Callithrix jacchus: one gene and its partner. The protein of the gene in region 1 interacts with the protein of each later gene in a pairwise test. Links are inferred from orthologs where the notes say so. Each region holds a gene or a part of one and is shown in the gene's direction. Other genes may lie near its edges.

Region 1 (3,639 bases):
GTGCAGGTAAAATATTTTGTATCCTTTGGAGATTTTATCTTGTCTCAGTAGCTGAAAAGTACTTAGTGTTTTATTTTCTTAAATTACTGTAGGAAATTTTTGTTTATTTTTGTATCCTTTGGAGATTTTATCTTGTCTCAGTAGCTGAAAAGTACTTAGTGTTTTATTTTCTTAAATTACTGTAGGAAAATTTTGTTTAATTGAATAATACAGAAAGTTTTAGTTCAGATATGCTTTCAGGAAGAATATAAATTCTTAAAAATAGAAATAATAAGATTGTAGGGGTTACTGAAAATTTGAGTAACATAATTAGTGTTACATTATTTTGTCCTTTAAGAAATACTGCACACTTCACCAGGCATGGTGCCTCACGCCTGTAATCCCAGCAGTTTGGGAGGCCAAGGTGGGCGGATCACATGAGGTCAGGAGTTTGAGACCAGCCTGGCCAACATGGTAAAACCCCATCTCTACTAAAAATACAAAAATTAGCTGGGCGTGGTGGCAGGTGCCTGTAATTCCAGCTACTCAGGAGGCTGAGGTGGGAGAATTACTTGAACCCAGGAGGCAGAGGTTGCAGTCAGCCAAGATTTTGCCGTTGCACTCCAGCCTGGTCAACAGAGTGAGACTCTGTCGCAAAAAAAAAAAATTGAGAAAAAAAAAAGAAGTTGCACATTTCATCCATGTTTTCATCCTTTTGAAAGTCATTAATATTTGTGTTTGGGGGTTGCAGGCGATCATTATTTCGAAGTTCTAGTATTCTGGATCACCATGAAGGAAGTAGACCTATAGCCTTTGCCCACAAGAGAATGACACCATCTTTCAAGCTTACCGCAGGGAGGCAAGCTCAATGTACATCTTACTTCATTGAACCTGTACAGTGGATGGAATCTGCTTTGTTGGGAGTGATGGATGGACAGGTGAAAACACATTTTATTTTCTACAGTTTTATTGAATCATCTATATTTTATTCCTTCTTGCATTTTCAACTCTATTTTAACTAGTGTTTTACTCTATTTCTTAACTCCTTTATTTCTGAAGATTATATTTTTCTAGTGTAGATAAGACTATCAAAAATAAAATATTTTCCAAAAACCAGCTGATCCGAAATAGTGAATCACTTCTGATTGAGAACACTGGTCTAAGTTAATAAATTTCCTTTAAAGCTATTTATATTTTTTCAACTATAAGGCTAACATTTATTTTTAAGCTAATTAGAATATATTGGCTGGGCACGGTGGCTGATGCCTGTAAATCAGAGAACTTTGGGAGGCCAAGGCGAAGGATTGCTTAAGCCCAGGAGTTCAAGACCAGCTTGGGTAACATAGTGAGACCCCATCCCTGTAAAAGAAAGTAAAAAAATTTTAATTAAAAAAAAACATATGGCCGGGTGCGGTGGCTCACGCCTGTAATCCCAGCACTTTGGGAGGCTGAGGCGGGTGGATCATGAAGTCAAGAGATCGAGACCATCCTGGTCAACATGGTGAAACCCCGTCTCTACTAAAAAATACAAAAAATTAGCTGGGCATGGTGGCGCGTGCCTGTAATCCCAGCTACTCAGGAGGCTGAGGCAGGAGAATTGCCTGAACCCAGGAGGCAGAGGTTGCGGTGAGCTGAGATTGCGCCATGGCACTCCAGCCTGGGTAACGAGCAAAACTCCATCTCAAAAAAATAAATAAATAAATAACAACAACAACAATAAAAAAACGTGTATATATAAAAGAAAAAATATATTTAACAAAATTTGAACTTTGTAACAACAGTAGGGTAAATCAGGGATTTTAAAATTAGGTTAAAAGTTCTTTATTTTTCTCTGTTGGCTTCCTGTATGTGTCTCTCTCTTTTCTCTGATCTTTCCGGAAAGTGAAATTTAATATGTTTTGCTATGAGATTCTTTTTCATTTCCAGTTAAAGAATACAGCTCATCCTATTGCTCCTATAACCAGTGGGTGTGGAAAAAAAAGAAAGAAAGAATGCAGTTCATGTGACATCTTACATAAAAATGTGTTTAACTTGGTTGGAGTGCGCCATGACAGCCACATTTCTCCTTTAGGTTTATTTGATACTAATGTGAAGGTATTCTATAATAATAATCTTAATAATGATTTTGAATGTTTGTATGATTTGTATAAAAGTTTGTATAGTGGCTATTTTATGAAACCCTTTAACTATATCATTTGAAGAATGCCATAGCTTTATAAAATAGGTAGAGCAGTTATATTTACATTTTATGCATGAGGAAACTGTTTATCAGTTAGTGTCTTCCCTAGAAGGTGGTACCCTATGATCAAACTCACATTTTCAGATGATGCTGGTTTTTAAAAAAACCACCTTATTATAGTATAATTCACAGGACATACAATTTACCTATTTAAGGTGTACAATTCAGTGGTTTTTTAAAAGTGTATTCACAGTGTTTTTTGCAACCGCCATCATGTATTAGTCCATTTTCACACTGCTTTAAGATAGTATGTGAGACTGGGTAATTTATAAAGGAAAGGTTTAATTGACTCATGATTCTGCATGGCTGGGGAGGCCTCAGGAAACTTATAATCGTGTTGGAAGGGAAAGCAGGCCTCCTCTTCACAAGGCGGCAGGAGAGAGAAGCATGTGTGAAGGAGAAGCTATCACTTATAAAACCATTGGATCTTATAAAAACTAACTCACTATCGCAAGAACAGCATGGGGGAATCCGCCTCTATGATCCAGTCACCTCCCTTCCTCCACATGTGGGGATTACAATTTGAGATGAGATTTGGATGAGGACACAGGGCCAAACCTTATCACATTACCATTCACAGCACCCGAAAAATAATGTACACATTATCAGTCACTTCCCATTCTTTTTTTTTTTTGAGATGGAGTTTTGCTCTTGTGACCCTAGCTGGAGTGCAATGACGGGATCTTGGCTCACTGTAACCTCCACCTCCTGGGTTCAGGCAATTCTCCTGCCTCAGCCTCCTGAGTAGCTGGGATTACAGGCACGTGCCACCTTGGCCAGCTAATTTTTTGTATTTTTAATAGAGACGGGGTTTCACCATGTTGACCAGCATGGTCTCGATCTCTTGACCTCATGATCCACCCGCCTCGGCCTCCCAAAGTGCTGGGATTACAGGTGTGAGCCACTGCGCCTGGCCCTAACTTCCCATTCTTGATGGCATTATTTGTAGCAGTTAGAGTTTTTAATTTCGGTTATATCTAATTCATCAGTTTTTCTTTTTTGTGGCTTGTGATTTTGACTTTCTGATTTTATTTAACCTGGGAAACAAACACACACTCCAACCAAGTTAAATACATTTTTATGTAAGATTCTGAATCCTGTGCATACTTCTTTGTATACATAGTTGAATTTTTTTCTATAGAATATGTACCTAGAAGTGGAATTCCTGGTTCAAAGAAGGTGTGTTTTAAATATTAGTGATATTCTAGTACAATATCCAAAATACTCATATAAATTTGGGTTTCAGTAACAGAATGCATGTACCCCATATCCTTGACATGATAGATACTATACAACTGGTAATGTTTTGTCAACCTGTGGGGTAAAAAATGTTAATCCTAAAATGTTTAATTGGAATTTTGTGAAAATAGTCATCGACCACCATCTTTATATATTTACCAGCCATTTATAGTTTACTTTTC
Region 2 (3,975 bases), on another chromosome or scaffold:
GCAAGTATGAGCCGCCGCGCCCGGCCGGCTGCTGTTTTTGCAATATCTGGGTCTGGCTTTGGTGTTGGGGTAATGCTGGCTCAGGGAATGGGGAGCAGTATGGTCTCCCCGTGTTCTCTGGAAGAGTGCGTAGCGCCGACCTGTTACTTCTCCCTCGATGTCTGGTAGAATTCACCAGTGACCCCGTGTGGGCCTCGGTTTCTCATTAAGTGCTCGATGGTGGCACCACGGAAGTTTCGGGTGTGTCGATGCCTGCGCCTCAACGTACAAACCCGTTACTAACGTCAGGGCAACATGTGCTCCCGTCTGTTCCCCCCAGAACTGTCGTTACCGGAATTTTCATGAATTTCCTGGACCTGTTTGGTGGAATTGGCCAGGGAAGCCGTTGGGAACGGCAGCTTTGTGAGAGGCTTTTAACTAAAAATCGAATTCAGCCGGTGCGGTGGCTCACGCCTCTAAATCCCAACACTGGGAGGCCGAGGCGGGCCGATCACGTGAGGTCGGGAGTTCAAAACCAGCCTGGGCAACATGGTGAAACCCCGTGTCTACTACAAGGACACAAAGTGAGCCGGGCGTGGTGGCACAGATGCCTGTGATCCCGGCGACTGGGAGGCGGACGCAGGAAAACTGCTTGAACCTGGGAGCTGTTGGCTGCCGTGAGCTGAGGTTGCACCATTGCACTCCAGCCTGGGAAATAAGAGCGAAACTCCATGTCTCAAAAAAGCAAAAGTGACGGTTATCAGAAGCTGGCTCAGGCCATGTCCGTGAGGTTTTGTTTTCTGGGGGGTCGCTGCGATGACAGGCCAGCGCCCCCACGCCCGGTAACTTTTGTGGAGATGGGGTTTAGGCTGGTCTTGAACACGTGAGCTCAAGGGTTCTGCCCGCCTCAGGCCCCAGAGTGTTGGGAAGAGCGGCCTGAGCCCCCGCACCCGCCCTAGAGGGAGCTTGGCCGGTTCCCGTGCTCCAGACCCTTGTGTGTTCACCCAAGTGATTTCGTCATCATCGGCGACGTTTCCTGCTTGTGGGTTTCACATCCGCAGCATCCACAGCGCTGGCGTGTCCCGCGGGCGCGATGCCCATTTCTGTTTCTCTGCATGAACAGTGGGGGTAAGGACGGTCGATTCGTCTTGTCACGGAACCACGAGTGCCACCGATTTTCTGTCTTGTCACGGAACCACGAGTGCCACCGATTTTCTGTCTTGTCACGGAACCACGAGTGCCACCGATTTTCTGTCTTGTCACGGAACCACGAGTGCCACCGATTTTCTGTCTTGTCACGGAACCACGAGTGCCACCGATTTTCTGTCTTGTCACGGAACCACGAGTGCCACCGATTTTCTGTCTTGTCACGGAACCACGAGTGCCACCGATTTTCTGTCTTGTCACGGAACCACGAGTGCCACTGATTTTCTGTTGCCTTTGTTCTGGTTTTCCTTCTGTTCTCCAGGTGCCTTCACGCGGCAGCCTGGGCCGCTGACCGAAGCCCTTTCCTCTCTTCTCAGTGGGCCCTGGGAGCGCGGCCGAGTCAGGCGTTGTCACTTACCGGCAGCTCAAAACACTCTATAGTTCCCGACCCACGGGCTCCACGGAGCTGCGTTCTAACCCTTGCGCCTCCCCAGACGCCCCTCCCATTCCTGCCGAGCTCCTGGGGCTCCCGCTGCGCCCCCCACACCCCCCGCCATCCGTGTGTCCCTGCTCCCCCTCCCCTTCCCCATTTTCATGCTCTCCGTCCTCCCATTCTGCTCCCCGTTTTCATGCTCCCCCCTCCCATTCTCCCACCCATTTTCATGCTCCCCCCTCCCATTGTCCTCCCCATTTTCATGCTCCCCCCTCCCATTCTCCTCTCCATTTTCATGCTCCCCGCTCCCATTTTGCTCCCCATTTTCATGGTCACCCTCCTCCGCCCATTCTCCTCCCCATTTTCATGCTCCCCCCTCCCATTCCCCTCCCCATTTTCCTGCTCCCCCTCCTCCCATTCTCCTGCTCCCCATTTTCATGCTCCCCCCTCCCATTCTCCTCCCCATTTTCATGCTCCCCACTCCCATTCTCCTGCTTCCCATTTTCGTGCTGCCCCTCCTCCCCCCATTCTCCCCATTCTCCTGCCCCCCATTTTCGTGCTGCCCCTCCTCCCCCCATTCTCCGCCTCCGTCCCCCTGCTCCCCACCTGACCAGTATCCACCGCCATCGCCGCCCAGCCCAGGTCTGCGGCACAGCCGGCCCCACGCTCAGGTAGCCACGTGCCACCTTCCGTGTCCGCTCCCGCGCTGGTTGGCCGCACTCTCGTCCATGGCCGGGAGTGACCGGGACCGTGGGGATCTCAGCGCCAGGCTTCCGGGGGGCATGTTGCAGAGCAGACGTGTCCACACCGGACCTCCGAGGGTCTGTGCGGCCGGTGGCCACGCCGGTGTCCCGGGGCACTGTCCTCTGTCACTGCGGATGGCTCACCGCGCGCGCATGTGCAGGCCTCGTGCTGCTGTGCGTTCTGGTCCCCGGGAGCCCGTGCGTGTGTTGGGACAATCCTAAGCCACGCGTGGCCGCGCCGTTTTTGAAACCGTGTCACATCCCGGGTTTTGTTCTGCCTTCCCGCGTGGACCCCGCAGAAACCTGTAAGCGCGTCCACGCAGGTCAGCGCTGCTCTGAGTCCCCGTCACGTGGCTTCGAGAAACGCGCGCCCCCGGATTCCTGCCCTGGGAAAGCCCCTGCGGGGACCTGGCGCCGGGGGTGTGACCGTCCTGTGACCACAGCCCCCTCCCCAGGGACCACTGGTGCAGGTGGCACCGCCGGCCGGGAGCGCACAGCTGGGTCGGCACCTGCAGCTCCAGGGCCCGCGGCGCCGCCAGACACGCCTTTGCCATCCCCTCGTTGCAGGTTCGAGGCCGAGCTCAGCCCTGTGGAGCAGAAGCTGAGTGCGCTGCGGTCGCCGCTGGCCCAGAGGCCCTTCTTCGAGGCGCCCTCGCCCCTGGGCGCCGTGGACCTGTACGAGTTCGCGTGCGGGGACGAGGACCTGCAGCCGCTGTAAAAACGTCCGCGTTGTGTTTTGTGGAAAACGAGTGCGTTTGTACCGAATGATAAATTTTTATTTATTCACACAGGCGCGGTGATTGCTGGCGCTGGGGGGGGTCTGGCTGCACCTGCCTGGGTGCGATGGGCCGGCCTGGGGGACACGAGGAGGAGACCCCAGGTGGCTACACCTGCCTGGGTGGGATGGGCCGGCCTGGGGGACACGAGGAGGAGACCCCGGGTGGCTACACCTGCCTGGGTGGGATGGGCCGGCCTGGGGGACACGAGGAGGAGACCCCGTGTGGCTGCACCTGCCTGGCTGGGATGGGCCGGCCTGGGGGACACGAGGAGAGGACACCCCGTGTGGCTGCACCTGCCTGGGTGCGATGGGCCGGCCTGGGGGACACGAGGAGGAGACCCCGGGTGGCTACACCTGCCTGGGTGGGATGGGCCGGCCTGGGGGACACGAGGAGGAGACCCCGTGTGGCTGCACCTGCCTGGGTGCGATGGGCCGGCCTGGGGGACACGAGGAGGAGACCCCGTGTGGCTGCACCTGCCTGGGTGCGATGGCCCGGCCTGGGGGACACGAGGAGGAGACCCCGTGTGGCTGCACCTGCCTGGCTGGGATGGGCCGGCCTGGGGGACACGAGGAGGAGACCCCGTGTGGGTTCCAGGCTGAGATGGCAGAGGCCTCCCTGGGGCCCTGGAAGGGAACACAGCGGCCTCCCCACCCAGTGTCCCTGCTGAAACCCCTGCACGTCCCCCGAGTGCCCGCTGCAGTCCCTGCTCCCCGCGCTCCACAAGCACCCCCCGCCTCCCACCTCCCCAGTGGGTGACCCACGCCCTGAGCCGGATCTCTGCCTGCTGTGCACACACACACCTGTGCTGGAGTCCACGTGTGGGGGGAAGGAGGAGGGATGAGGAGGAGGCGGCATGGTGGGGAGGAGGGATGTGGAGGCGGAGGAGGAGGATGAG

Evidence for each region. The genes of interacting proteins can lie anywhere in the genome.
Region 2: the proteins of DUSP12 (region 1) and PPP2R3B interact in binary tests that used the Homo sapiens proteins (3 or more experiments, as listed by UniProt). The two-hybrid records come from large-scale screens. The link is inferred for Callithrix jacchus from reciprocal best matches to the Homo sapiens genes DUSP12 and PPP2R3B.

Annotation. Positions count from the first base shown.
Region 1 is NC_133519.1:21,594,738-21,598,376, forward strand, and holds part of DUSP12 (dual specificity protein phosphatase 12), read left to right. Parts: coding exon 1-6; intron 7-730; coding exon 731-917; intron 918-3,639. UniProt on the Homo sapiens protein: Dual specificity phosphatase; can dephosphorylate both phosphotyrosine and phosphoserine or phosphothreonine residues. Can dephosphorylate glucokinase (in vitro).
Region 2 is NC_133524.1:733,984-737,958, reverse strand, and holds the end of PPP2R3B (serine/threonine-protein phosphatase 2A regulatory subunit B'' subunit beta), read left to right. Parts: intron 1-2,868; coding exon 2,869-3,019; 3' UTR 3,020-3,089; downstream 3,090-3,975. UniProt on the Homo sapiens protein: The B regulatory subunit might modulate substrate selectivity and catalytic activity, and might also direct the localization of the catalytic enzyme to a particular subcellular compartment.